2 linked regions of the Stegostoma tigrinum genome follow. The protein of the gene in region 1 purifies or fractionates together with the protein of each later gene. This does not show direct contact. Links are inferred from orthologs where the notes say so. Each region holds a gene or a part of one and is shown on either strand. Other genes may lie near its edges.

Region 1 (15,736 bases):
CGTATAAATTCCCACTGATCTGCAGAAAGTGATACAATCAGAATTCCTATACTCTTCAGGAATTATCTCTTGAATTAATATATGTCCTTAAAATTCCCCCTTGTACAACATGTCAGAAACTGCATTTTTTTTTATCCTTCCAAGTGAAACATAACATTGGGGAGACACAGCACACTCTGGCCTCAACATCACCTCTTAATCCTAAACAAAATGTTAAAAATAAATCAAAAGAAGAGTATGTTTCTTAGGCTTTATAATCCTACAATGTTCCAAAAAAAACAAAGCAAAGGACAACCTTTAACTAAACACTTTAATTTTACACAAATAAATTTAAAACAATACTATACCCAAAGACGCCCTTCACAGTTACTGAAGAGCTATATTTCAGCAATGACTTTACTGCCTTAGCACCTACCTAAGTGATTGAACAATAGAACCCCAATAGTATTCCGACTAATGTTACCCATTTGCCGAAGTATTTTTTTAAATCAGATAGCAACAGCGTATTTTCAGTGTAGCATTTTCAAATACAATTACCAATACTTATCATAGATATCCTATAGCCTTGCAGTAATGATACTAGCTCAGCAACTGTTCGTGAGTTCAAAACACACAATAACAAGCTGTGAATTTAATTACAGTAAATCTGGTAATTTTTAATCTAACACTAGGAAAATAACAAGTAATCATTTTTGGATCAGTAATGTCCTTCACAGAAGGAAGACTGATACCTGTACCCAATCTGTCTTACAAATGACTTTCCCAGCACTTTGTGATTGACACTTGATACTCTACTCATTTGGGGATAAACAACTATGCTTGGCTGGTGTTGCCCAGATCCCAAGATAATCTTTTTTAAAAATTAATGCAACATGTACAAAGTCCAAGGACATTACCATGAATCGTTATAACATTTGAATTTTACCTCAACTGTAGCATTGTGTCTAATTCTTGGTTTTGGGAAAGATGTGAAGGGTTTAGACAAGGTGCAGAAATGATTTCCAATAATGATTCCAAGAACAAAGAACTTTTGTTACACAAATAAGTTGGAAAGTTAGAGCGGCTCTCCTAAAGGAGGGGACAATTGAAAGGAAATTTGGTAAAATCACTCATGGTCTAGACAGGATCAACAGAGAGAAACTTCCCATTGGTTGACAGCTTAATAAACAGAGGGCACGAATTTCAGATGAATGACAAAATTGCCAATAGTGACACAAGGAAAGATATTTTATGTGGTGAGTTGTTAGGTTTTGGAATGCATTACCTGACAACATGGTGGCAGCTTTCTCAATCAGTGTTTTCAAAATGGAATTGTTTAAGCACCTGAAGAGGCAGAGCTAGAGGGAAAGGGTGGCAGAACTGCTTTGCAGAGAGCTGTTTGACTCACAACAGGCCACATAGCCTTCCTCTGTGTTGTAATGATACTACTGATCCACAATGTCAGTTCAAGTTAGATTTCAAAATTACCATACTATTGAAAATTTGCACTTCTGTACATCTCTGGAGTTGAGAGGACAGAATATTTCTTGCAAACATAAAATAATGGCAATTTCAAGCGTATGTTAAAGCTTTAATTTAATCATCGGTAGTTTCTGATATAAATCATAAGAACAAAGCATAATGTTTTACAGGCATCATCTGAATAACCAGGTTAAACTATCACCTTGCGCGGACTGACTACAACTTTTGCTTTCCTATACTATAGTTTAAATAACACTAGAGAGAATTCAGCTTCAAATAAATACTTCCCTGAAAGTATGAGTGGGATGTGGAAAAGCTCATTAAAACCACCAGCAGTTTTTGAGCTTTATAAATTAGTCATAGAATAAGAGTACAAAAATGTACAAAACATTCCTGAGGTCACTTTAAGAATAGTGAACAGTTTGGGTGATCTTTAATAGAAAACACATTAAAGCCACACAGAATATTCATTATAAATTCACCAAGATAATTCCAGCAATGGGAAACTATAGTTACAAAGTGACCCTCAAGATACTGGGACTATTTCTTGAGAAGCAGACAAGGTTATGGTGAAATTAATACAGCTGATTTTGATACAGTGAGTAAAAAAAGACAGGGTTTAATGTCAGTGATGAGAGGTCACATTATGACAAAGTATGGAAACAGCATAGGAGAAACGGCTTGAATTGCTCATGCATGAAATGTTTTGTCACAGAGAGTGTTTGAGCCAGAGACCTTCATATCTTTTAAAGAAAAACTGGACAAATATTTAAAGTAAATGAACATACAGAGTATGGGAAAGAATAGGATAAAGAGATTAAATGCATAATTCAACGAATCAAACAATACTCTTTTAAGTTCTCACCAATGTCTTCCAGTTGGGCAGGACTGCTCTCCCCAGTTCCAAATTTATCGACTCATATGTAGCCAGGGAATAATTTACAATAACAGTTTCTTCTATTCCTGTAGCATTACCTCTGATACTCCCAAGGATTTATCCACGCTCCGCTCCTACTTCTAATCTACTTGCTAACCCTGGGCAACATCATCCAAAGGTAGAATGTTAGTTTTCACATGCACATCGTACCTCAGCATCACATCCTCAACTTCTGGTTTTAAATTATCTGACATCCCTCGAGTCAACAACTGCATCCCTCTGCCAGTGGGAGAGTCTGAGCTTTAGCCAACCTGTCTAGAATCTTGCTGTCACATTTAAGCAAAATGGTCTTTTGACCTTATGTCTGTGCCTTTATTAAAATAGCCCAGCTCTATTTTTGTCACATCACCCCATGTTAGCTCACCTGCTGCTGCTAAAACCCTGATTCATGCCTCATTACTTCCATCTCAACAATTCCAATGCTCTTCTAGCTGGATTCCTATAGTATACCTTCCACAGACGTGAGGTCATTCAAAATTCTGCAGCTTGTGTCACAATTTGCAGCCAGTCCTGCTCACCCAAAACCTCTCTGTCCATTGACTAGTCCAGATTCCCAGTCAAGCAACATCGATTTTAAAATTCTTAGAGCCAGTAAGAACTGCCAATGCTGGAGCCAGAGATAACACAGTGTGGACAGCAGGCCAGGCAGCATCAGAGGGGCAGGAAAGCTGATGTTTCAGGTCAGGACCCTTCTTCAGAAATGTCTCTATGGTCTTACCCTTCCCTATTTCTGTCATCTCCTGTAGCCCTACAACCCTCAAAACTATCTGCACTCATCTAATTTTACCTCTAAAGTGTCACCAGATTTATATAGTTTACAGTGAAGGTAGTTCCTTCAACTACTGTGTACAGTTCTGGTTGCCACATTACAAAAAGGATGTGGATGCTTTGGAGAGGGTGCAGAGGAGGTTCACCAGGATGTTGCCTGGTATGGCAAGTGGTAGCTATGAAGAGAGGTTGAATAGATTAGGATTATTTTCATTAGAAAGACGGAAATTGAGGGGGGACCTAATTGAGGTCTACAAAATCATGAGGGGTATAGACAGGGTGGATAGCAAAAAGCTTTTTCCCAGAGTGGGGGACTCAATTACTAGGGGTCATGAGTTCAAAGTGAGAGGAGGAAAGTTTACGGGAGATATGCATGGAAAGTTCTTTACACAGAGGGTGGTGGGCGCCTGGAACGTGTTGCCAGCGGAGGTGGTAGACGCAGACACGTTAGCGTCTTTTAAGATATATTTGCACAGGTACATGGATGGGCAGGGAGCAAATGGACACAGACCGTTAGAAAATAGATGACAGGTTAGACAGAGGATCTTGATCGGCGCAGGCTTGGAGGGCCGAAGGGCCTGTTCCTGTGCTGTAATTTTCTTTGTTCTTTGTTCTATCTGGCACTTTGGAATTCACCCCCACCCCAAATCTCTCTACCTCCCCAAATATCTCCTTTAGTAAGCTATTTAAAGCCTAATTTTCTGATCAAGCTTTTGGTTATCTACCCTAATTTTCTGGTGTAGTATCACACTTCATTTATTATATTTCGGTGAAGCACACTGGGATATTTTACCTTAAGGTCAGTAAATTAATACAAGATGTTGTTGTAAGGAAAGACTCACTAAAACAAAGCAGGACACGTGAATGCTCAGTAAATGGATACAGTATTGGATCATACCAATTATTCGAGAAGGAAACATCTCAAACACCTCTTCTTGTGGGAGACTATCATTAAGTTATTGGAAGGCTGGTCTATGCAAATAAGGAAGAAACAAAAAATCAACAAAGTTAAATTATAAAAACTGAAAAACAGGTAATACAAATATGCCAGAGTCTTCAAACAAACCTGCAAACAGCAAGTACTCTAAAGCTTGAAACTGTTCCTTCAAACCATCCTGAATGTGAAAGTTAAATGAAACCAACTTTATGTAGCACTTGTTAATGACCGTAAGAGGTCCCACAGCACTTCACAGCCAATGAAGTAGTTTGTTGAAGTGTACTTACTGTTAAATGCAAGAAATACAGCAATCATTATACACACTCAACACTCCCAGAAGAGTAAGGTAGTAATAACTAAATAATCTATTTTCGAGATAATAAAATGTGAGACTGGATGAACACAGCAAGCCAAGCAGCATCTCAGGAGCACAAAATGCTTGGCTTGCTGTGTTCATCCAGCCTCACATTTTATTATCTTGGAATTCTCCAGCATCTGCAGTTCCCATTATCTCTGAATCTATTTTCGAGGATTTCTTTCAGGATAAGGATACCTTGGATAAGCCCCCTTCCATTCAAAATAGCACCTTAGGATGCTGTGCATCCACCGGAGCTGGAAGATGAGATTTGTCTTATGCCTGAACTGAAAGACGCTACCTCCAATCGTGTAACAACATCAGTCAGCAACAAGTTGTATTGGAATGCGGAGACTTTATCGTGTTTTAAGCATGATGTGGAACCTGAACTTACAGGTTTGTGATTCAAGAATTGGGAGCGCTATTAAGCCATGACTGGCCCACTCCATGTCTTATTTTATGATATATAGTTTAATTTATAGATTCACAGCATTCCCACTTCGTACCTACAATGCATAAACGCTTAATAAATGGGAAACGGGAAAAAAAATAAGAATAAAACGCCATATAAACCACCTGAATTGCATCGTAAGTGGAAATATTGTACGCTTGTCACGATCATTTGTTGAAATGAAACTTGGACCTTTATCGTATAATGGTCGGTCATTTTCTGCCACGTTTGAATTGATGAAAAAGCCAAAATCCATCACACCAATGCAAACGCGACAGTGTAAACTGGAACCTTTTGTACAAGACATTAAAACTGGCGATTTCTTTAATTTGTTTAGTTGTCGCACATCAGGGAAATCTTTGGAACAAAAAAAAGATACATTTACAAAAGGTGGAGGTGTTTTTCTTTATTTTGTGTATGGATTGCAGCGGATGGTGGGTCAACTTAGTGGACATTGGATGCGGAAGTGTCGCTTTGGAACGTGGAGACAATGGGTACGTTCTGTTTGTGGAATGTCGGCCTCGCTCTTTGATACTCTGCCATTGTGACCAACATTCTGGAACTGGAAGGCGGAGTTGCAAACTCCACTCACAGACAGTACTCTGTCTTGTCAGCTCCACCAACACTGGAACTTCCGCTCGCATACACCCTGCGCAATAAAGCGGCCAGGCTTTGGGGGCCTTTGGGGTGCGCTACAAACACAACGCTTATTATCACCCTTCCACCCCCCACGCACAAAAAAAATGAATAAATGTACATTAAATGTACCTGTCGCTCAGCATTTACAGGCGCTGTGTAACTGCGTGTAGAACAGATGATTTGTTTATTAAGCATGTTTTATTCAATCACAAGACGGGTTGTTTTGTTTTAAGTCTGTCTTTCTGCTCCCTCCGTAAATGTAAACATGTCACCTACAGCCGGGAACCCCGAGCAAACCAACGGCGAAGATTGCCGGGAGTTGTAGTCCTGTTTGTGACCAAAGTGAAACCATTCCAGTCTGCCAGAGGCCCTTTTCATAAATATGCACATTATCTGAAAGTCATTTAGCAAATAACAGTTTTTGAGCACACTTTTTGATAGGGATTGTTAAGCTGCTACGGCAATAGAAATGTAACAAGGACGTTGATTGCTGTTTGTAATTAATAGTAAAAATAGCGTATTTTGTTTCTTTTTTTCCCAAATGATAACTTTACTAAAAAAAAGTACACAAACAGTTACAATTTTTCGAACTACCTGATTGCAGGCCAGGGAATCTACTATCTAATGGGTTATCTTAAAATGTGAAAAAGTACGTCAAAATCCCAAAGTTCTTATTAAAGCCTTAAATGAACAAACATAGATTAACAGTCGAAATACATTGACAGAAAGGTTTATGGTTCCACTAAGGGTTGCCAACTCCATATTTTCAAATCCCCAAGCCTCACTTTTCAACATCACTGCAAGCTCCTTCAGCCCAAAATGCATTGGAATATCTGCATTTGCCTCTTGCACATCTATAATTTTAATCACTATACCTTTAAATGTCTGAGCTAAAAGCACTCTGGAATGGCCTCCCTAAACATCTCAGCCTCACAACTCACTTTCTTCCTCAAAGAAATTTTTTGGACCATGGTGTTAGTCATCTGCCTCCAGTGGTTCAATGTACTATTGTGAACTTTAATGCTTAGCACATTTTACTATACTTTTATACAATATAAAATGTATCATAAGACGCATTCTATCATGGGATATTTGACATTTCATTTAACTGAAGTAGATTGACTTACCTGTAGTTAAGAGTCTTTGCGTATGAAATGTTTTGACAGATGCAATTTGCAAGACCAACAACAGAGATAAACAAGGATAGGGAAGAAGGGAACTAAAGGTGGGATACAACTTGCAACAGGGAAATCAGATTTGGAAGAAATGTTAATTATTACCCTGTTAATAAGACAGTCCTTATGATAAAGATATTGGAATGTTTAATTGACAGAACTTTGAGTTGATTATGTCAAGGTATATTTGTAAAGGGTATGTTGTGCTGAGCAAACCTAATTGAATCTTTTGAGAAATTAATTAAAGTAGTAGATGGAGGAATGACTTTGTATGCATTCTATGTGGCCTCTCAGGAGATAAAGTTTTGCATAAGATATTGCTGACTAAATTTAAAGCTGCTGCAGTTGTTTAAAAGATTTAAGATAGCACAAGTGGCCTAGCTAGCCACCTTTAGACATTTTCCTAATCAACCTATTCAGATATGTCATCACACACTTCTGGAGCAGGTGGGATTTGAACCTGCCCATCCTGATCTCGAGATGGGGATGCTACTACTGTGGCACAAGAGCTCCAGATAGCCACCTTAATGATCAATCCTTAAACTGAGCTGGTACATTGAGGCTCTAGAGAGGTAGCTAGTGACCAGGCAGACGCTGTTGTCAACAGTGTCAATGACTAGCTAAGTTCCATGCCATCATTTGCCATTTTCTAGATGTGAAATGCAACTAGAAAATGACAAAGACAACACCAAAAGTCGGTACAGCTAGCAAATACTGATTGCAAGCTCCAGCTATATTAAAGTACCAAGTATTTCTTTGCTGGGCAAGCATTGGCTGAGTGGTATTGTTGCCAGACTATTAATCCAGAAACTAAGGTTATGTTCCGGGAACCCAGGTTTGAGTCCCACCACAGCAGATGGTGGAGTTTGAATTCAATAAATATCTGGAAGTAAGAGTCGAATGATGAGCATGAAATCAACTGCTGATTTGTCAGAAAAGCCAATCCAATTCACTGATGTGCTTTCAGGGAAGGAAATCTTCAATCAGTACCTGGTCTGGTCGACATGTGTCTCCAGACTCGTGCAATGTGGTTAATCCTCAAATGCCCTCTGAAGTGACCTAGCAAGTGCTCAGTTGTAACAATCACGACAAAGCCTCAAAAGAGAAATGAAATGGACAAACCACCGGGCATCAACCTAGGCACCACAATTGACAACAGCAAAAACAGTCCTGTTGGACCCGCAAAGTCCTCACTTCCACAAACATTCCATAATTCCACCACTGACACTCAATAGCAGCAGTGTGTACACACTGCAGAAATTTGCCAAAATCCTTAGGCAGCACTTATCAAACTCTCAATCACTCCGAGACAAACAAGGGCAGCAGATACGTGGGAACATCACCACTTGCAAGTTCCCCTCCATTACCAATCACCAAGCTACTCACCATCCTGACTTGGAAATATATCACTGTTACTACATTGGATCAAAGTCCTGGAACGCCCTCCGTAGTGGCATTCCAGGTCTGCGTATAGCAATTTAAGAAAATAGCTCTTCCACCTTCTCAAGGGCAATTAGGATCAGCTAAAATGATGACCCATCCAGCAACACTCACATCCCATAATATAATAAAACAAATAAGAAACTGAAAATATGCAATGCATATAGAGTAAACCTGTTAATGTGTCAAATTTTAGTCAAAGGCATATTACAACATGTCATTGGAGCTGGCTAAACTTACAGTGGAATTCAGTGATGCAGAAAAATGCCTTAAAAGAAAGAAAAGGGTAACCAAAAGCACTCCTTCATTTTGAAACTTCCAAGGGTGCTCTGGGACAAGAGGCACACCGCTGTGTCATCTGTCATGTAACTATGACGATGGGCTCTGATGAATGCAGTGAAACATGAAATGGTTGATGTGACTATGAGATGAGAATGGTGTCAGAGCATAGTCACTTCTCTATTTTAACATGTTGGTCACTCAGCCATCACAGCACCTTCATGAAGATGGTGCAAAGAACTGCTGACAGCAAATTTTCACAGTTTGTAGCAAACTGGGGCTCCCTCCAGTAAAGCCAACACAGAATGTGCCATACAATCCTGCTGAGCTCTGCACAGCTGGAGCAGGTAATGTGATAGATGCTGAGGAGCCGGTCAAATGGGTGCAATTGTCCGAGAAGAAAGATAAGAGCATTGAACTGTAGGAAACTTTCCTTGTGGTGAAAGAGCTCTGCTGCATTAGTGCTACAGGAAACTGATTGACACTGGGTTCCATTAGATGCAAGCTGGGTGCTGAAGACCATCATGGACTGTCAAGGCCAAAATGCCAACCGTTGGATCGCAATGTATTCCTTTTTGGTGGCTGTCAATAACATCTTTGGCCTGATTCAAATGTTTGTCTATACATGACAAGGTACAGGTCTACTGTGGGCTTCAGAGAAAGTGTAATTGTGAATTCAGAGGGTGTTTAGTGGAACTTGGCTAAGGACAGGTAAACTGTGTGAGAGTGGGTGAATAGGGTTGTATGTGCAAGGGATTATCAAGCGTGCTGGCTATGTGCCATAGGCAACATGGCTTTGTGACTGCAGTGTTATTATGCTACAAGTGGTGGTGCAGGTGTGAAGGATGGCAGTTTTTCGTCAGAAAGCCAGTGAGTTGTTCTAAGAATGCCACATGGCAAGATGGGGATAGAAGCAGATGTGAGGTGAGTCAGTCATTAATGAGGTAAGTTTTATAAGGTACAGTGAAAAATTCCATTGGGCTTCACAGAAAGAATTGCTCCAAAAACTCAACGCAACTTGCACATGACCAAAAAAAACCATAAGATTTGATCTGAGAGACAGAGAAGGTAGAGAGAAATTGTTCTCCATAGCGGAAGGATGGATAACCAGAGAACCTGAGCAAGAAGTTTTTGTTGCAATAACTCCTATGTGTCTGAAAATTCACAATGCAACATGGTAGTGGATATGGAAACCATGGGCACTTGAAGAAAATAAAATAAAGGTTATGAGGACTGTTGTGACAATTTGTTATGGTTGCAATTGCTGGTTAGCCATTCGATTTATCAAATCATTTATATTGTTTCCTACCATTAAATTCTTGATTTATTGGACATTGAAGGCTGGTTATTGTATTTTATTTTAACCAATGTCAATGTACTTCTCCAAAAGTCTGTTTATTGAATGTTGTACACTTGCCCAGTGGGAAAAGCATTTGTCATCAGCCTTTATTGTCTTGAATGATTGATAATATAACAATTATTCGTTAATGTAGCAGAGGGACTCTACAACTACAGACAGTGTACGGTAGATATTTTCTTTATTTTGTAAAACGGTACTACTTATTATACAAAACATTGTGCAGATTTTCATTTTGAATTGATTAAACTAGATCTAATTTTTAGCTGTAAGAAATGTATAATATTTTAACATACCCTGGATTAGCAAAATGGCAGTACAAGTGAATAATTTAGCAGCTAAATTCAAAGTTTGTAAGAACCAAGTGGTGCATTCATCAATGAGCTGCTTTGTTATTTTTAGCAAGTATAAAAGAAGAACTTGTTCATTTATTTGAAGTTGCAAAGAATTCAAAGAATTGCACACTAGCACAGTCCAGCCTGGCATTTACCCTCTAATTTCTTAAGATATCACTGGCAGCATGATGGCTATGGATGACAGCTGAATGAAGGCCATCTAAACTGAAACAATGCAAGCCTTTTACAGTACGACAGTTGTTCCCTAACAATAATGCATTCTCATTTTTGAATGTCAGCAATTCAGAATCTTGATGTGTTGGACCATCAAATAAAATGTTTTCAGAGACAGATTCGTAATTCCGAAGTAATTATTTTAAGCATTCCTGGCAAAGGGTGGTTTTGAATGAGCTCTTGCCTGTTGTGGATTCCAGGGAGAATGAATTCTCTTTGGGTTGACATACAGGCCCATCTCACTGAGGAAAAAAATGGCTGGACAAATCATTCATCTATGCAAATGCAACTGGCGAATGGTCAAATGCATTTATTACTAACGTCATTATAGTAAACAAGACAAAAATCATAACTGGCTGTTATTGACATGTTGGCAAGCATGATTTGTGCGCCCCTCACTGATATTCTAAGGATTGGAAAAGGCATTCCAACGGGGATTTGTTTATAAAAGAGTAAGTTTCATCTAGTCAGATACTTAAGACAAATTTGATTGACAAGCACTATTTTTTTTAGAAATCCATTGCATATTTAATTAAAGAACAGACTAAAATGAAAAGTAATTGTCATTATTACTAAACAAGCATTCTCACTCATAAATATTTTGTAGTGGTTCTTTATTACCACAGTGAATATTCACAGATCACAATCAGCAATAAGAACTTGCAAGCATATGTCTGGATTAAATAATAGATAATGTTTTAATGAAAAATTAAATTTGCTCATTTTAAATTAAAAATTTAGCCCATAGCTACTTTGATAAAGGTCTCTTGAATTTAAAAGTCATTAACACAGAGGGTGTGCAAAGCAATTTGGTTTGTTTCTCAGACTGTCAATTATAATAGTTGTATACACAGTGACACTACAATACTTCTCCACCACTACATGTGTCTTCTTCTGTCATGTTAGAATATTGGTATACTTTCCTCAGGCTTTGCATTGACTGAGGGGATATCACATTCCAGATTTTGTGATTTTAATTTAAGGCAGAAAGGGCTTGGGTATTGGTTACAGGCTCAATGATTGGCCTTCAGTTTGTAGACAACAACCACCAGGGTCTTAATTTTCTCCTGTGTTTTGATGTGACTGAATAGGCCAATCTGTTGACTAGTTGATCTTTGTGTTTAAATGGCAGGATTTCCCATGAGTTAGTGGGCTATGAAGTGCATGATTTGCTTCCTTGTATTTTCTACTTTGCCACTGCTCTGCCTCAACATTAACATATTTGGGGTCATTGCAGATTGATGGACAAATTATTGCCATTTTTAATGATTGGTAGCCAACTTCTCCCACTCTTTAGTGAAAATGCTGCCATGCTTCAAACAAGGTCCTGAGTGTTTTCTTTGTCCCCTGCTGTGAGTGCTAACCATTTGAGATAATGAGAAAACAGGAGGGCAGGGGACATGCTTTTCAGCCTTATTGATAAAGTTTTCTGTCTGAAACTCACAAAGCCCAGAACTATGGAGGCCTAGCCTATCAACAGCAAGGTTTCAGTAGCATTTTATTCTCCCATTTCCTGCCTAGTAGCCAATCAGGTGGACAGTCTTGCTAATGCTCTTTGAAAATGGTGGGTGTTGGGTTCAGGAGCAGAACTTTTAGAGTTGGGGCTCCATGATATTTTAATGAGGTCAAAGAACTTTTTTGTTCCCATGGGAATTCAAGCCCATGATGTGTCACAGTGTTTCACAAATAATAAAGTGCATTTAAAATGTCACTGTTACAGTGTAGGAAATCTAAAACTGTTTCTGGAAATTGGGTGATTGAGCTTGCTGGAAAGTGGAGTTAAGGACAGTTACAAAGAAACAGACTTCCTCTACATTGGGGAAACCAAGCAGAGGCTTGGGGACCGCTTTGCAGAACACCTCCGCTTGGTTCACAATAAACAACTGCGCCTCCCAGTCGCGAACCATTTTAACTCCCCCTCCCATTCCTCAGACGACATGTCCATCATGGGCCTCCTGCAGTGCCACAATGATCCCACCCGAAGGTTGCAGGAACAGCAACTCATATTCCGCTTGGGAACCCTGCAGCCCAATGGTATCAATGTGAACTTCACAAGCTTCAAAATCTCCCCTTCCCCCACCGCATCCCAAAACCAGCCCAGTCCGACTCCGCCTCGCTAACCTGTTCTTCCTCTCACCTATCCCTTCCTCCCGCCTCAAGCCGCACCTCCATTTCCTACCTACTAACCTCATCCCGCCTCCTTGACCTGTCCGTCTTCCCTGGACTGATCTATCCCCTCCCTACCTATACTCTCCTCTCCACCTATCTTCTTTTCTCTCCATCTTCGGTCCGCCTCCCCCTCTCTCTCTATTTATTCCAGAATCCTCTCTCCATCCCCTTCTCTGATGAAGGGTCTAGGCCCGAAACGTCAGCTTTTGTGCTCCTGAGATGCTGCTTGGCCTGCTGTGTTCATTCAGCTTCACACTTTGTTATCTTGTCTTCTTTGTGAAACCAGTCTTTCCTGTTTTTAAAATTGCCAGCATTCCTTGAGTGCTATTTTAAATTAGAAAATAATTAAACATGAAACTTGTCAAATAGGAATAAACAATGATTGTGTGTAATAAAAATAGCGAGAACCAAAAAAGTTTCTTATTGGTGGCAACTTGAACCATGCTAGCAAAGCACCTGAGAATGATACAGAAGAATGAAAGCATGATCCTGTTATAAGTTGAAGATATTAATGTTGCAAACAGCACATCAGTTGGCACATGGTGTAAGTGACACATTAATTGTTGTAATGAGAGAATTCATTCTGCATTAATGGCTTTCTTTTGTGTATCAATGACTTGTTTTGGGACAGAATCAAAAATAACATCTGGTAAGGTTCCGTCAATCATTAGCAAGCTAATTTAACTATGAGTTACATTTTGACATTGGTATAATGGTAAACACACGGTTCATGCCAATGTTAACAGATGTTGGTTCTTGATGCTGATTCTTGTACTGTGTATTAAGTCCAATGGGGCAACTATAACAAGGGTAAATATCTCAAAGAATTAATCTTGATAATTGTTCTGATAAAAATAAGCCTGTAAAAGTTGTAACTGGTATATTTCCTATTCTAATAGCCCATGTTCAATTGTATTTGAACTTGAAGGAAAAGAAGATGACTAAGAGTTAAATTAACTGGTACTCTAGTGAAAGAATTGCAATATATAAGAAAAGAACTTCAGCGAAAATGAATTAGTGACCACTACTTCTGAAAGAAACTAGGACACAAAATTTTGATATTTCTTTAGGTTTGTTTGTAGATCTGAGTTGGTGTTGGAATTCCAACAAATACCTAACTATTGTCAAGGCTGTACCTCCATTTTCTCCTTTACTGATAAAATATCATGGGGTAATGACAGGCACTCAATGTGCTCTCCTCCTTTTGTCAATTTACAGATCCATGCCTCGAGGGCTGGTAAAATACAATAAAATAAAATACAAGTATCCAAAGAAAATGAACCTCTTCAAACCCATTATTTGAGATAAGATCAGTCAGTGTTGCACAGTGTCTAAAAGGATTAATGCTGAAAAAAGTCATGAAGTATCACTTAATGTCTGAGGAACAGCTTGTTTAAGATATGACACAGTGTCTCCTTGTTAGACTACCAGATGGTTTTCTGCGACCACACTGGACCAAAGCAGGCCGAGATAACAAAGTGTGGAGCTGGATGAACACAGCGGGCCAAGCAGCTTCTTAAGGACACAAAAGCTGACATTTCGGGCCTAGACCCTTCATCAGAAACGTCAGCTTTTGTGCTCCTAAGATGCTGCTTGGCCTGTTGTGTTCATCCAGCTCCACACTTTGTTATCTCGGATTCTCCAGCATCTGCAGTTCCCATTATCTCGGACCAAAGCAAGCCGTTTTGATCCCTTCAAAAAAAAGGGGGCGTGATGGTAGTAAATCTATCAGATGGATCTCACACCATGATGAGATGTGAAGAGGGTTCAAATTACAACATATATCATTTTCAAAATGTGTGGATTAATTAAGGATAGCATTAAGATTTGTTAAAGACAAGTATAATTGGAAAATATTCGATAATCTAGTTTGAAGTGAATGTATTAGAGGTTTAGAAGTTATTCAATGAAATGTCTCAAAAGATGCTCATTGGAAAAGCATAGTGAAGGGAAAGTAGCAGCATGCTTAATGGAGAGAAAACAAATTGTTACACAACATGAACATTCACAGTTTATAACTAGGTTTCAAGCATCTATAGATTATAGGTCTCAGAATATTGGGGCCAAAATGTTTTGTTTATAAATCAATCTTAAACCCACAACTGCATATGTCTTAGTTCATAAATATTGAATTTATTTTATCATATACATTGTTGTTTCTAAGAAGAAAAAGGCAGGAAAAATATAAATGCCTTAGCATAACTGGTAACAGCTCTGGCATAAACTGTTACAACTTTGGCATGGGTGTCCAAGAACATTCAGTGAGAAGATGAGTACCTTTATTCTTAGAATCATAGAATGATTACAGCTCAGAAGAAGTACATTTTGCCCAATTACAACCTTCACTTTATGTTGCCTCTGCTGATGTTCCAGCAAAAATGAAGCTCCTCGCATTTCTCTGCATTATCTTTAATCTGCCACTTGACCACCCATCCACCCCTACCTATCTCCTTTAGAAGTTATACTATCTACCAGATGTACTGTGATAACTTACCAGTTTCCTTCAACCTCCAAGTAATTTCCAAACCCACAACCTCTACCACCTTGAAGAGAAAGAGCAACAGATGTGTAGGAAAATCATTATCTGCAAATTCCCCTCTAAGCCTCCAACATTCTGGTTTTGAACAATATTGATGCTTCATTTTTGTTGGGTCAAAATCCTGCAAGTCCTTTTCTAATGGCATTACCCAATTCCAACAATGGTATCTGTAACTCCACAGACTGCAACAGTTCAAGGAAATTATCATTATTTCATTCAAGACAATTCGGGACAAGTAACAAATGCTTGTATAACCAGTTACACACCCAACCCACGAATGAATGTTCTGAAAAGTTGTATGCTATCCTCCTTACAGTTTACAATGCTTCCAAGTTGCACATCATCCACAAATTTTGAAATTGTGCCCTGTGCACCAAAGTTAGGCCACTAATATAGAAAGGAAGAGCATGTTTCTTTATACCAACACTGGAGACCCACATGATGAAACTTCCTCCTGTCTAAATATCATTTCTACTCATCTCTAATCTGCTTTCTGTCACTCAGAAAATTTCAAATCCATGTTGCTGCTGACCTTTTCACTCTACTTTTGCTCACAAGTCTGTTGTGCAGCGCTTTATCAAATTATTTTCAGAAGTCCATCAGTACCATTGCATTTCCCTTATCAACCCCCGCTATTACTTCATCAAACAAATCAAGCAC
Region 2 (16,182 bases), on another chromosome or scaffold:
ATAAACCTTTTACTTGATCCAAAGAGACTAGGAATATATAGCAGGACTATTTCTCATCAGAGAAGGGTCACAGGAGAATAACAGTTCCTGTTGGAAACATCAACCTATTTTTGACTTTGGACTTCCATGTTCCAATTTAACCCGTTTTTCGAATGAACCTGTTGAAAGAAGCTATTACAGTCATCAGGAGCAGACGAGATTTGAATCTCAGCCGCATGCGCTGGGGTAGGGAAATACCACTGCACCACAAGAGGGCACCATCTGTACAGTTAAATGTTTAATTTTGTTTTGAGAAGCACTGCAAAGCAAAGCAAAGAAGGCCAAAATTCACCCCTGAAGTAGACTAGCTCTGCTCCACAATACCATTAATGCACAAGTTAAAAGAGGTCATATTTAAATGTTGCATAACATTTTAACAAGGAGCGATAGGGCAAAAGCAAAACACTACTTAAAATTGAGCTGGCGAAGTCAAAGTAAAATTTAAAAATGTGGCAAGTGCAAAGAAGAACAATATGCTTCTTCAAAAACTGTTAAACTATCATTTCATCTGATGGGCAGAAAATGGAAAATATTCTTTGGCATCAAATGCAACCAACCAGTTTTTTTTTTAAATGCTCAAAATTTAAAAGACAACAAACATGACTTGCAGTATACCTTTTTTTAAATCAGCACAGATAAAGACCCTTTGATCCAACTTGTCCGTGCTGACCACATACCCTAAATAAATTAGCCCCATTTGCCAGCATTTGGGCCAAATTCCCTCTAAACCCTAATTATTCACATAGAAGGCATCAGGATGGCTAAATGTTGTAATTGTATCATCTCCATCACATCCTCTGGCAGCTCATTCCAGACACGCACCACCTCCTGCAAGAAAAAACTGCACCTTACGGCCCTTTTAAATATTTCTCCTCTCACCTTAAACCTATGCCTTCTAGTTTTGCATTCCCCACAATGGGGGAAAAGACCTTGTCTATCTACCCCATCCATGTTCCTTATGATTTTATAAACCTTTGTAAGGTCACAACTCTATTCAATGTCTCACTATAGTTCAAATGCTCAAACCCTGGCAACATCCTTGTACATCTTTTCTGAACTCTTTCCATTTTCACAACCTCTTTCTTATAGAAGGGAGACAAGAATTGAATGCAGTATTGCAGTAGTGACCTGACTAATGTCCTGTACAGGCAACATAACCTCCCAACTCCAATGCTTAATGCACTGACCGATAAAGATAAGCAAACCGGACATTCTTCGCCATCCTATACACATGTGACACCTCTTTCGAGGTACTATGAACCTGCACTCCAAAGTCTCCGTTCAACAACACTCCCCAAAACCAAACCATTGAGTGTCTAAGTTCTGTCCAAATGTAGTACCTCACATTTATGTAAATTTAACTCCAGACCTGCCTCTCCTCAGCCCATTGGCCAATCTGAAGATGATGCTCTTGTACCCTCATGTCACATTCTTTGTTGCCCACCACACCTCCAATGTTGGTGTCATCTACAAACTTAGTAACCCTGCCTCCTATGTTCACATCCAAATTGTTTTCAGACAGGATAAAAAGCTGTGGACTCAGCAGCAATCTTTGTGGCACACCACTCATCACAGGCCTCCAGTGTAAATAGCAACCCTCTGTCTTCGACCTTTTGAGACAGCTTTGTATCAAAATAGCAAGCTCTCCCTCAATTCTGTGATCTAACCTTGCTACCCAGTATACCATGAGGAACCTTGTCGAACTCCCTACTGAAGTCCATATAGACCACACCCACCACTCTGCAGGCATCAATCCTCTTCGTTAAAATAGTATCAGAGATAATGGGAACTGCAGATGCTGGAGAATTCCAAGATAATAAAATGTGAGGCTGGACGAACACAGCAGGCCAACCAGCATCTCAGGAGCACAAAAGCTGACGTTTCGGGCCTCGACCCTTCATCAGAGAGGGGGATGGGGAGAGGGAACTGGAATAAATAGGGAGAGAGGGGGAGGCGGACCAAAGATGGAGAGTAAAGAAGATAGGTGGAGAGAGTATAGGTGGGGAGGTAGGGAGGGGATAGGTCAGTCCAGGGAAGACGGACAGGTCAAGGAGGTGGGATGAGGTTAGTAGGTAGATGGGGGTGCGGCTTGGGGTGGGAGGAAGGGATGGGTGAGGGGAAGAACCGGTTAGGGAGGCAGAGACAGGTTGGACTGGTTTTGGGATGCAGTGGGTGGGGGGGGGGGGGAGAAGAGCTGGGCTGGTTGTGTGGTGCAGTGGGGGGAGGGGATTAACTAGGCTGGTTTAGGGATGCAGTAGGGGAAGGGGAGATTTTGAAACTGGTGAAGTCCACATTTATACCATTAGGCTGCAGGGTTCCCAGGCGGAATATGAGTTGCTGTTCCTGCAACCTTCGGGTGGCATCATTGTGGCAGTGCAGGAGGCCCATGATGGACATGTCATCTAGAGAATGGGAGGGGGAGTGGAAATGGTTTGCGACTGGGAGGTGCAGTTGTTTGTTGCGAACTGAGCGGAGGTGTTCTGCAAAGCGGTCTCCAAGCCTCCGCTTGGTTTCCCCAATGTAGAGGAAACCACACCGGGTACAGTGGATGCAATATACCACATTGGCAGATGTGCAGGTGAACCTCTGCTTAATGTGGAATGTCATCTTGGGGCCTGGGATGGGGGTGAGGGAGGAGGTGTGGGGGCAAGTGTAGCATTTCCTGCAGTTGCAGGGGAAGGTGCCGGGTGTGGTGGGGTTGGAGGGCAGTGTGGAGCGAACAAGGGAGTCACGGAGAGAGTGGTCTCTCCAGAAAGCAGACAGGGGTGGGGATGGAAAAATGTCTTGGGTGGTGGGGTCGGATTGTAAATGGCGGAAGTGTCGGAGGATGATGCGTTGTATCCGGAGGTTGGTAGGGTGGTGTGTGAGAACGAGGGGGATCCTCTTAGGGCGGGTGAGGCGGGGGCGGGGTGTGAGGGATGTGTTGCGGGAAATACTTCTTCAAAGCAACTCCAAGATTGTGAAACATGATTTCCAACAAAGCCATGTTGACTCTCCTTAATCAGTCCATGCCTTTCCGAATACATCTAAATCCTGTCCCTCAGGATTCCCTCGAATAACTTGACAACCACCACCGATGTCAGGCTCACCAGTCTCTAGTTCCCTGGCTTTTCCTTACCACCTTTCTTAAACAGTGGCACAACATGAGCCAACCTCACCGGTCGTTCCTAATGATACAAATATCTCAGCAAGGGGCCCAGCAATCTCTTTCCTTACTTCCCACTTGCTCTAGGATATATCTGGTCAGGTTCCAGGGATTTATTCACCTTTGTGTTTTAAGGTGTCCAGCACCACCACCTCTATAACATGAGTATTTTCAAAGGTGTCACTCCTATTTCCCCACATTCTATATTTTCCATGTCCTTCTCCATTGTAAATAGTGATTTCATACTGTTAGATTTTGGCAGGCAGTACAAACAAACAAACATGAGCACGTGTGAACCTGACGCACTACCGTAGCCAGTCTTCATTAAATGTGGGCAAACCCACCCCCTGAATACAACATATCCACATAAACCTCCGAAAACCTTCTGCAAAATTTTCCTTTCACATTCCTTTTGGTGCATCCTTCGAAATTGTGTCACTGCCGTTCCACCCTACAGCAGTGCAATGTTCCATCATCTCCAGTTATTTTTTCTTTCAACAGCTCTGCCATCTGCATTACTGGTTGGTATATGGGACGCAATACACTTGACTTTCCTTGGACAAGTAAGTGTATAATGGAACTGGATGAAACAACTAACGTCAAAATGAAAATCTGACTCAAAAATTTATCTATGCTGTTAATGCTCATTTTACAAGCCATTCAGGAGATACAAATAACTCCCGAATAACAAGTTGCACATTAAGAGGCTGCCATAGACCACAGATTCCAAACAAACAATAAAACTAGCCAATTGAGTGCTCATTTGCACATTATATTTCAGCTTTCCAATTTTCCAGAATGCATTATCTCAGCCAAAAAAATACAGATAATTAGTACAGAAATTAGGAACCAAGTACATTAGTTACTGTACACCAGAAATACATGATTTGAAAATGAGGAAAGTAGTTACTCGGTTCATTTTTATTTTCAGATATCTTACTATTCAACAGTTACGCTTTCATAACTCCACTTACCAATGCAAAACAGTATCTTCAATGACACAAAGTAGACTATGACTTGCTCTATAAGCTAGTCAGACATTACCGATAAGGCAACCTGGCCTGAAAAAGGTACAGGATCAGAATCTAACAATGGTGGAGAGTGGGGAGGCGATGGTCTAGTGGTATTACTGTTGAACTGTTCATCCAAAAACTCAGATCATGTTCTGGGGACCTGGGTTTGAATCCTGCTGTGGCAGATGATGGGATTTGAATCCAACAAATATCTGGAATTAAGAGTGTAATGATGACCATGAATCATCGTCACTTGTTGGAAAACTCATCTGGTTCACTAATGTGAAACAAACTGCCATCCTTAAATCCATCTGGCCTACATGTCACTCCAAACCCACAACAATGTGGTTGACTCCAAACTGCAATTGGGCAATTAGGGATGGGCAATAAATACTGCGTGGCCAGCGACATCCCCATCCCATGAATGAATAAAGGAAAAAAAATTAACATGCATACTTTACATTCATGACAGCTACTTCCTTTTTCTCAGCTTCTTGCCTCTGAAAAACAGATACCTGATCAATAACATTTATTTATTTGATGACTGGTTTGAACAAAGCTCACATCCCAGTTGGTGACCTGATTTTCTATTTCCTGGATTGACTGGCCTCTATGTCTTTGAAGGTTTCAGAAACATCAAAATCTTGTCCGTACAAATCAATTCTGTTGCATTTTCTGCTGCAAAAGAGGCTGTATATTTTATTAAAGTAATTCCTTTGGTCTAAGTGCACAACAAGCTACAGTAGCTAAAACAAAAAGCTAAACAAGGGCTTCAGCTGAAAAGCAAGCCAGTTGCCCAGTTCATCCAATGTAATAATACATTTTCATTTCAGTGTACAAGTTTTCTTCACAAAATATTTGTTAAAATCACAGTTTCAGCTTTGAAGAGCAGCTCACCATTGAACTAATGTTTCCTGTGGGGCACAGTATCTTCCAGTCACTCAAATTTGGAAGTTATCTTCTCAGAATCAATGTTTTCATTGATTCATGCTAATACAATGATACAGAAACAGGTCACTGGCACAAATTAAAACTCATTTGTTTCATTAAAAATTACTTCAGTTTAAAAAGAATCACAGTACTAGTATTTAATTCTAAATCAACAACCATCACATTTCAGATTAATAGTGAACTTGAATACCATAATCCACAAGTATCTCCTGCTGGTACAGGCACATTCCACAGCTCTGTGGGAAGCTGACCAAGTGGGTATGAAAAATACATCATTGTATGTGAAAGCAATTCACTTCCCACAAGGTACTTTCCTAAAAAACAAAATGTTTCAATCGATCAACATTGGGAGTACAACAGACAATTGACCAAGATAATAAAATGTGAGGCTGGATGAGCAGGCCCAGCAGCATCTCAGGAGCACAAAAGCTGACGTTTCGGGCCTAGACCCTTCATCAGAAAGACAATTTACCAAATTGGCCCAAATCGTCAACTTCCTATGGCAACAGAAGGCGGCATAAAATTTAACCAAGAAATCCCCTGCTCTGTTCCAATCAGGGCACAAACTCTTTTTGGTCCATACATTGAGGTATTGTCTTTCAAATAAAACAAACAGTGCAGCATCCCCTCAGTGCTTCAGTGCAAGCAGCAAGCTGAACCAAGTGCTCAGGTTTTAATTATCGCAGGGAAGTTGGAACCCAGAATCCTCTGACACCAAGGCGAATGTGCAGCCACTGTGATCTGGCTCACGGAATGAAAACAGGCAGATTGCGATAACCTTGACAACGTCTATGGAGATTCACTAACTCATTTGCTCAAGGAGCTCTTGAGCATGCGTTTCCCTGTAACAGACAATGGGCTACCCAATCTAACCAGTCACCCGAGCCCGTTATGAGAAAGCAGACCTTGGGATGGCCTTTGCAGAACTCCCTGTCCCGGGATGTAGACACGATCACCAAGACTAACTGTGTCATTGAAGTACAGTTACCACATATTTTCAGTCGCTCACTGATGCGGCTCCAGCTTCACCTCCTCCTCACATTGACACCTCCCACTGGTAACAGCCCACGGCACCATCTCCCATTGGCTAAGGCCGCTGTCACTCACATTGGTGACATTTCCGCTTGTTATGTTTGTTTCGGGGTTTTCTTCTCCGGAAAATCCGGCCGAGCTCCGACCAATCAATCAAATTCAACCACATCCTCGCATTTGGGCAACACCACCAACGACAGGCGTTTATGCCTTCATTTGTTTTGAGGGAAAAACGCAGCGGTGCTACAAACGATCTAAAACAAAATATTGGTGCTGGGGTGAAGGGGGGGTGGTTCTTCAAACTTACCGTTAAGACAAGCGTCCTCGCTGTTGGCCTGTGGTGCGGCTGCCATTTTTGCGGTATTTGAGGAGTTTCTTGCTGCAGCCGCCCAGCCCTCACTCCGAGCGAGTGTCGCGGGCGCTGTTGGCCGTCTCCGACCGTTTGAATTTTCCAACGGTCCCTGCGCGAGCCCTCCGCCGCTCCCACCAACCCGGATTGCGCATGCCCCGACACAAGTCCTATCCCCGCGGAGGATACATGCCACGGAGACGGTGACATCACCGCAATCCGCCCCATTCCCGGAAGTAGCACAGCCCGAGTTCAAGTCCCACCTGCTGTGGGAGGTGCATCCGAACATGCGATTGGGACGTCACAACTCTTAGGTTTCATGGTCTTGTGGACAGAAAATACCCTGAGGAAAGGACGGGAGAGCCAGCTCAATTTCAGATGTAATAGGAACGAGAAAAGACAGTGCTAAAAATCGTCCAGTCAAAACATAGGGGTTGAAATTAGAAAGTTAAGAAAGAACGAGCACCTTAAGAGGACTGCACTACACCCCTGCCTCCCCCCAGCCCACACTGGGAAATTGAGGATCAAATATGTAAAGACCAGTAGTTATAGGTAAGAACAGGGACTTGAATTTACCACACTCACTGTGACTATCATTGTATTAAAGAGTTGGATGGTGATGCATCAGTTTAAGAAAATTTTATTCAACACATTTTAACAATACTTAAATCTTCCTACTACAGGAGATGCAAAACTTGACGTTCACTGAGGTAATAAGGCAGATTAAGTGACTGCAGTGACAGTAAGGGAAAATTTTGGATGTGCTGATCATTATTCTCAGCTTTAAAAAACGATATGTGAAAGGACAGGAGATAACACAGTGTGGAGCTAGAGGAACACAGCAGGCCAAGAACTATCAGGAATAGTAAAGTTGACATTTCAGGTCAAGACCTTTCTTTCGAAAAAGGGCAAACCTTCCATAAAACTACAGTTTTTAATGGGTATGAAACAAGAACTTTAAAAACTTCACTGGAATAGACGATTGACATGTAAAAGTACATCTGATAGTGGGAGGTAACAGAAGCTCAGAATCATGATGTTCATGTTAGAGTGAAAGGTAAGGAGAGTAGGAGTAGAGAACAATAGATCAATAAAGGTAATAAAATGTGAGGCTGGATGAACACAGCAGGCCCAGCAGCATCTCAGGAGCACAAAAGCTGACATTTCGGGCCTAGACCCTTCATCAGAGAGGGGGATGGGGTGAGGGTTCTGGAATAAATAGGGAGAGAGGGGGAGGCGGACCGAAGATGGAGAGAAAAGAAGATAGGTGGAGAGGAGAGTATAGGTGGGGAGGTAGGGAGGGGATAGGTCAGTCCAGGGAAGACGGACAGGTCAAGGAGGTGGGATGAGGTTCAATAAAGGTGTTGAGGTTCCTGTCAATAATCAATAGGCATCACATTAGATCTAGATAACTGGTCTCAAATGAATCTTGAAACAATCTAAAGAGTGTAGGGGCATTCTTGAGGTAGAGATGAGGATGGCAAGGCAAAAAAAAAAGAACAAGGTAACAAATAAGGTTAAGGATAACCCAAACAGTGCTCGAGAGCACTTAGACAGAGTGTAGGGCCCCTGCGAGATCCAAGAGGTCATCTTGGTATTAAACCGAAATGGGACCAATATTAAATGAATATTTTGCAACAGTTTTTCTGAGGAGAAAGGAAGCTAGAGAAGTCAGGGAAATCAATTTTGATGTTATGAAATTAGTTCACATTACAGAATAGGAAATGTTGGAGATCTTCAAAAAATTTAAAGATGGATAAATCCCCTGTCACCTGATCTAGTGTACTCCAGGACATTGTGCCAAGTAGGGAGGAAAGTGTGGGGCCCCTTACAAAAATATTTGTATCATTTAAAAATATGGGTGAGGTCCAAAGTGGGGTGTGGCTAATGCTGCACATTTGTTTAAGAAGGGATGTAAGGAGAAGCAGGGGAACTATAGACCTGTATGGTGGGTAATTTCTGGCAAGTAATTTTGACAGACAGGATTAATATGCATTTGGAGAGGCAAGTAATGAGCAGAGGTAGTCAGTATGGCTTTGTGCAAGGGAAATAGCCTCTTACAAACTTGATTCGGTTTTTTGAAGAAATACCTAAAATACCTGAGGTCAGTTCAGTAGACCTTGTTTACCCAGACTTTCATCAAGCCTGTGGCAAGGTTTTGCATGTTAGACTGAATTTGTAAAGTTTGATCACATGGGATTCAGGGAGCGATTACCAATTAGAGAGACAATTGGCTTTATGCGAGGAGATAGAGGATGGTGGAGTAGAGTTTTTTTTGTTCTGGAGGCCTGCGACCAGCAGGCTCGCACAGGGATCAGTACTGGATCCACTGTTTGTCATTTACATAAACAGTTTTGATGAGAATTTAGAAGACCCGGTTACGAAGTTTGCAAATGAGACCAAAAGTGGTGGTATAGTGGACAGTGAACAATATTACCTAAGATTATGAAGAGATCTTGATCATTTGGATCAGTGGGCTGAAGAGTGGCAGATCGAGTTTTATTTGGATAAACGAGTGCTATTCCATTTTTATGAAACAGACAATTGCACATTTAAAAGTATGGCCTTAAGTAGTGTTGTAGAACGAAAACACCTAAAGCATCCGGTATCTAACTGTTTGAAGTTTGCAACACATTGATACGATGGTTAAGGTGTTTAGCATGTTTACCTGCATGGCTGAGAGCTTTGAGTATAGGAGTTGGGATGTTACGTTGAGGTTATACATGATGTTGGTGAGGCTTCTTCTGGAGTGCTGTGTCCCAGCTCTGACCACACTGTTACAGGAAGAATTTTTTAAAAACTGATTCACCAAATGTTTCCAGGGATGGAGGGTTTGAGTCGTCAGGAGAGGCTAGATCGGCTGTGACTTTACTTATTTGAGCAGAGATGGTTGACAGGTGAACTTTTCAAGGTTAATAAAATCGCAGGGGTATAGATAAGGTTCATGACAGTTGTGTTCTCCCTAGGATGGGGAATTTCAAGACGAGAGGGGCATTTTTTTTTAAGGTGAGAGGAGGAAGATTTTTAAAAAACATGAGGGGCTTTGTTTTACATAAATGGTTTGTGTCTGGAATGAACTGCATGAGGAAGCAATGGATTCTGGTACAGTTAGAATGTTTAAAAGACTTTTAGATAAGTCCACAGATAAGAACTGTTGAAAGTGATTTGGGCCAAGCACAGGCAGATGGGATGAGTTTAGTTTGGGATTATGGTTAGCATGGATTGGTTGGACCAAAGGGCCTGTTTACATGCTGTTATGACTATCCATGTACCTGTATAAAATAAACACTGCAATTGTACTCAGCTCTTCCACTTCCTCTGGCAGTTCCTTCTACATGCACACCATCCTCTGAGAGAACAAGTTAACCTTTCATGTCCATTTTAAACCCTTCTCCTCTCACATGAAAATTATGCCCATTAGTTGTGGGCTCTACTACCCTTGGACAAGACCTTGGTTTCTTTTAATCTTAAGCTCCCTGATGATTTTATCAACCTCTACCAAATCAGCCCTCAGCCACCTACATTCCAAGGAAACAAGTCCCAGCACATCCAACATCTGCTCATAACTCAACCTTCCAGTATCAGTAACATCTTTGCACATTTTTTTTGTACCCTTTCCAGTTTAATAGCATCATTCCGATATCAGGGTGATTCGAATTGTACACAGTACTCCAAATGTGGCTTTACCAATGTCTTTTACAGCCATAACAAGAGTCCCACGCTCTGACCGGCTAAGGTAAGCTGGCCGAATGCCACTCTCAACGAACCTGGATCTCTGTTCAACAACACTCCTCAGGGCCCTGCCGCTTGCTGTTTAAGTCCTGCTCTAGTTTGTCTTACCAAATACAGCACCTCACACATGAAGTAAATTCTATCTGCCACTCCTCGGCCCATTCGATCAAGATCTCTTTGTAATCTTAGATAACCTTCTTTATTGTCCACTACACCAGCAAATTTTGTGTCATCTGTGAAGTTACTAACTACAACTCCTGTATTCTCATTCAAATTGTTCAAAAAATTGACCAGTGGACTCAGCACCAATCCTTTGGCATATCACTTGTCACAAGCCTCTTGTCTGAACAATAATCCTCTAAAACCACCCTCTAGTTTTTGGATCTTTTTGCATACCTGTCTACCACTTTGTGTATCTTCTCGGTCATCTCTTCGAAAAAACTCAATCAAGTTTAAGAGACAATTCCCCACACACAAAACCATGCTGTCTGTCATCAGTCCTTGCCTTTCCAAATGCATGTACATCCGGTCACTCAGAATCCCCTCTCACCACTTAACCACCACTGACTCACTAGTCTGTAGCTCCCTGGCATTTCCTTGCATCCTTCCTTAAATATTGGCTCAATATTCTTCCAGTACCTCACCCAAGCCTGTTGATAAAAATGGCAACAAGAACCATACCTCCTTGCCATCTGTCATGCTGCAGTGAACCTCGAAGGTCTAGTGAAGAGCTGTGATTATTTTACACAACTTGGTTGACAAGAGCAACTGTGACATCGACTGCCAGCACCCAAAGTGTTTTCTAATTTACTGTCTGTTGCCCCCTTCTATTCTAACAAATTCCATGCACTGTTTTTTGCAATATTCTTTGTTACTGATGTCAACTATGTACAGGCATATATATGCTTGAGTCAATTACAGGGTGATACACTCCAACGCATGCATTTTCCACAAACATCAATCCCAAACCCCACAGGATGCATCAATCAGCCCATGTGAAACTACACAATGACTACAGTGCTTTGTATTAAAAATATCTATCATTTGTGATGTGGTAGAAATGGAATTTCTGATTTATAAATATTATTCCAGCTTAGAGTAATCAGTTCATGACTCCAGTGAACCATACATCAGATCCATTCTAATAGGCAAAGGCAAATTTGTTCAGGAGCTTACTTGTCCTGCACCTGAGATGCCTTGTTTCCCTCAATCACAGATCTAATATTAACAATGATGTAAATTGTGGCCCTCATGCATGAAATTCCTTACAATTTCCAGCTTTTTAAAAGCTATTACTGTTGAAGATCAGCATATCAAATACCTTCCTACCTCGTTCAGAAATGTTCCAAACGTTAAAATAATCTGTTTTCTCTCGAGAGCCAGAAGAAGCACGCATTCCAAATGGGACAACAAGCTCAGAGACAACAAGGTGTAGAGCTGGATGAACACAGTCAGCCAAGCAGCAGAGGAGCAAGAAGGCTGAAGTTCTGGGTCTCTTCCCTTCTTCAGATTCTCCAGCATATGCAGTTCCTGCTATCTCTGAAACATGCTCAACAGGTCCCTTTTCTAACACATCGATACATTTTTCTGTCGAATTCAATCTATCATCGGTTCAGCATTCGGCTGCACCTCAGGGTCAACTAATTTGAAGTCAACAACATAAGTATTCGTATGAAAAAGTTCATGCAACTTCTATCTTCTGTTCCATTCAAGAGACCTGTTCTTCTTTAACCATGTTACCAATTTCACCATTTAGGTTGTATGGCTTGGTTCATGATTTCTTCTGAGACCCCAATTGTACACTATCATCAGGGTAGTTCCATGTGATTACAGCATCCGACACTGTTTGTTAAAAAATTGATAAATAAGATTGAAAGTCAAAGTCATTGTTCACACCTCTGATAAGATCTTGCGTTCAATGACAATGTCTCAAGGAAAGTTAAGAAACTCAGATCCTGTGCATTGCAACTTCCCACGAGGAGAATCATCGATCCAAGGTCAGAGACAGGATTAACATAAAGGTTTCCCAATTCTTCCGCAATTTTGTTTCATATTGAAAGATGAAAAGAAACCAAAGTCATCAGGAACATTATTTGCAAGTTTTTGGATCTGATGGACCGTACAGTGTTGGTTAGTAACATATGCATCTGAGGACCCTGTCTTTTACTTGTATTTTAACAAGTGGAGACTGAAATGAGAAACATCGTACCATCAAGTATTTGACAAGGTGTCTGCAGTTTTGAAAAGTAATCCGACTCCCACGTCGGACATCATGGGAATAACTGTTTCAACAAACAGTAATTGCAGAGTTACAGACAATCTGAAGCCAAGGGGTGGGCCACAGCAGCTGTTGCTGGCAACAAGAAGTTGAATGTGAAGTAGACAGTAGTCCACAAATCAATGACAGACACCTTTTTTTCTTGCCAACAACTGTCTGATTGGTTCTCAGGTGACTAAACAGCTTGGAGCTGTGAACACATCAAAACGCAAGGGGTACTCAGTTCTGCATTCCAAAGTCAAAGCTTATCATAAACCGGAAGAAAACCACTTCATATTTCCTGCAACAATCAGCGCATGCAGTAACTTTTAACCAGATATTCACAGACTTGCCCAAAATATTCCAGCCATTTTGTGTCTCTTCCCAACCGGTGGACCTAAGTGAGAGAAGGCCAACTGATGCCAAGCTCTTGCATTTGGGATCACATCAACAAAATTACCCGAGGACCAAGATAACTTAAATGTTTTACCATGTTCCCCTCCGTCCATAAGCTATTTACCTCACCTGTTTCAACAGCACAAAGGGGAGTTCATAAGGCAACATGAATTTTTTATTTGTGCCTTGTCTACAGTTTATAACTGTTTACCTGACACTAGAGTCTAATTTCTTGTAACGAATCCTAACTTTTGTTCAATCCAGAAGCTTGTCCAATGCTTTGTATCAATCCAGGTCTAAAAATACACCAACTTTACAAAGTGTGCAAACTTGGTATAATTTTGAACTTCTGTGATGACTTCAGAAATAGACAGGCTTGATTTCTATCACACTACCCGAATGAGGGAGACCCAAATGTTGCTTAGTTTCTGTCACCATCCATTCATGTGTCTTAAATAGTGTTCAGACTGTTTCTATGGGGAGGTAATGGCCACCTTTCTCACAGAATGGTCATGCAGACTTAGAGTTTTGACTGTATTCTTCTGATTCTGCGCTTTTGGGGCGCCTGTATTTTCAATCTGGAGCATTTTTGAGACAAAAGTTTGTACCAGATTAGTGTCCAGATTACAATTTGACACATTTGGAGCTCAGCTGTATTACACTGAAGAGATTATTTAATTCATTTTCAATATTCGTACGTAGGGAAAAAGAAGTATAATTTCCCAGCCTAATGCTGTACTTGAAAACACTAATTTTCTGGGTCAGATGGAGGTGTTTGGGGACTCACTGCCACATCAACTGCAGACAGGGTAAATGACCTGAAAGATCAGCACACTTGTTGCTCTTTAAGGAATAATTCAAAACTGTTGCATTTTCATCTGTTTCATTTCTTCCACCCTCTCCTGATGCAAGTGTCCTTATTGTACTTTCAGATAGTGTTTGAGTGGCAAGAATTAATGAATTTTTTTTTCATTAAACAGAATGTAAGTAGTATTCAGCTAACCTTGTAAATAAATTCAACATCACCACTGAAGATTCAACCTCTCCACAGCTTCCCTGGAGCTTTGTATTCATTCTTTCAACCTGCACTATTGTTTCTTCACCTGCAGATCTTAAACCCTGACCCAGTTTCAGGTTGTGAGCATGACAATATATATCATTGCGATATCAACACAGTCAACCAATTCCAATGTTGGTACACTTCATGAAATAAATGCAAAAACTTTATCCAAGCTTGATTTGACATTATACGAAGAGTTCAACAGGTGAAAACTTAAAATTCATTTTATCAAGTACCTGACTTAAACTTCCATGTACTTGTTCTGGCATAAAGTTAAAATCAATTGATGTATCATAATAAAATTTAACTCTTACCTGCCAACCTGGTTTTGCTGGTGAAACATCTAGCTGGCAAACAGTCAGAATTTAAATAGCTGTAGAAGAGTACAGTTGAACTGACTTTTCTCAATTCTTCAGACGCCGTCCCATTTCCCATGAACACAATTCATAGTAACACACTTCCCTCAGGCTGCTCTGGTCCTTTAACGCAATGCTGTGTCAAGGAATCAGGGCTGTTCTTCTGCACTTGAGACACTGAACAAGAGAAATACAGGTTAGGACAGTGTCCAACTGCCCTCAGCTCATCCTGCACTGCTTTCTTTTCATCCACCATTCATGCGGAAGGTGAAGAATTTTTAATTTGACCCACAACTCAAATGAGTAATCTTTCATATCGTGCATAATTGGGGTAACCAGGAATCTGAACATGCATTGGTGGCCCAAAGCAGAGGATGTGCTGCACTGAGGGCAACATGAGAACATAACCTGGGCATCATTTTTGACTCAAATTGTGCAGGATCTGGTAGCCAACTAAGTAGATGTGCACTTTGCTGACAGCAGCAAATACAGACAAATGGCGAAAATGCAACTTCAACTATTAGTTCAACCATTTACTCTGCACTTCACTGAAATAAATCACAATAGCCATCTTTTTTGACACAGCCATTCTCTTCACTCCATCAAATTAAACGACACTTAAGATGTCTCAGCCGCTAATGCAGATGCGAATTCAGTGAGCTCTTTATTTTACTACTCTACTCTAGATACTTTATACTTAGTCTAGAAATCTTTCATTGCTTAACCAAATTCAGTGATTTTGTGGCAAGGGTGGCAAACCACGGTCAGAAATGTAAATCTCAAAAAGATTAAAAATGAACCAGCCCATGTATTTGTCATGCTCACCAAAAGCATTTAGTTAGTTATTATATTGTGATTGGCAGCAGAATTTTCCCTGGCATATCTACGTTCTCACCTGAACAATCACACTCTCTCATAGGCCATTATTTTTCAACATTACATTAGGTCAGCATTTCAACACAAACCAAGAATCAAATCTAGTTCACAACAGGAAACAGCATCTCATCAATCAAGAAACTGGACAAGAAAAATAGTTTACTTCTAAAACAAAAAATGCAGAACATCAAAAACAAAACTAACGATGAGTCAGAGAAATACTTAGCAGATCTACCTATCCCTGTTAAAACAGCTCAGAGCAGGAGATTGGGTCCACATGCAAAGCTTGTCTGATACCAGCTCACTGGTTACATTCTTTAGATACCATGCTGTTTTTTTTCCTGGGTCACTACAGTGTTTCAAGCCCAAGAACATTGCGGTTAAATGTTTTGTATTGCCCTCATCTTCCCAAATGCTCTGAACACTGCAGCTCCTGGGCTAAATTTTACAATTGTTCAAGTTTTATTTGAAGTGAAATTCCAGAGTCCACTTTAACAGTGACTTGCAAAAAAACTTCCTTATACCACCAATAAACTTGATCAAAAATCATCTCAAATAAAACCTCAAACCAACTGCCAATTTCAGTTCTATCAAGCCACACCTAGTATAACCTGGCAATTTACGAACAGTTGGTGATGTCAGCAAGATTTTCCTTCTTTCATTTTTCACAGGCAACCATTTAGCAGCGCTTAGCTTTATCAATTATCTTACACAACTTCAAGATGCCCCAATATGCATAATTTGCCAGGAAATAAACTTGTCTGAAGTGCAGTCACTCTCCTGTGGCAGCTAATTCACTCAGTGCAAGGTCACAAAAACAAGAATCAGACTGAGCATCACATAATCTGTTTAGCGATCCTGTTTCAACAAATGACGTTCAGACAGAGCTGTAATGCCGGATTATCATATTTACCGCTCAGTTTACCTTCAGTTCAGACCTGTGTAAATGCATTACTGACTTGCGATTTTCCATGAA

The links.
Region 2: the proteins of fbxl4 (region 1) and BCL2/adenovirus E1B 19 kDa protein-interacting protein 3-like purify together in Homo sapiens (affinity purification with western blotting; 4 studies listed by BioGRID, with this or other methods). This does not show direct contact. The link is inferred for Stegostoma tigrinum from reciprocal best matches to the Homo sapiens genes FBXL4 and BNIP3L.

What each region holds. Positions count from the first base shown.
Region 1 is NC_081357.1:49,947,214-49,962,949, reverse strand, and holds the start of fbxl4 (F-box/LRR-repeat protein 4), read right to left. Parts: upstream 5,826-15,736; 5' UTR 5,678-5,825; intron 4,271-5,677; exon of another isoform or gene 4,233-4,270; intron 4,139-4,232; 5' UTR 4,065-4,138; intron 1-4,064. UniProt on the Homo sapiens protein: Substrate-recognition component of the mitochondria-localized SCF-FBXL4 ubiquitin E3 ligase complex that plays a role in the restriction of mitophagy by controlling the degradation of BNIP3 and NIX mitophagy receptors.
Region 2 is NC_081393.1:9,562,670-9,578,851, forward strand, and holds the start of BCL2/adenovirus E1B 19 kDa protein-interacting protein 3-like, read right to left. Parts: upstream 6,743-16,182; 5' UTR 6,534-6,742; coding exon 6,488-6,533; intron 1-6,487.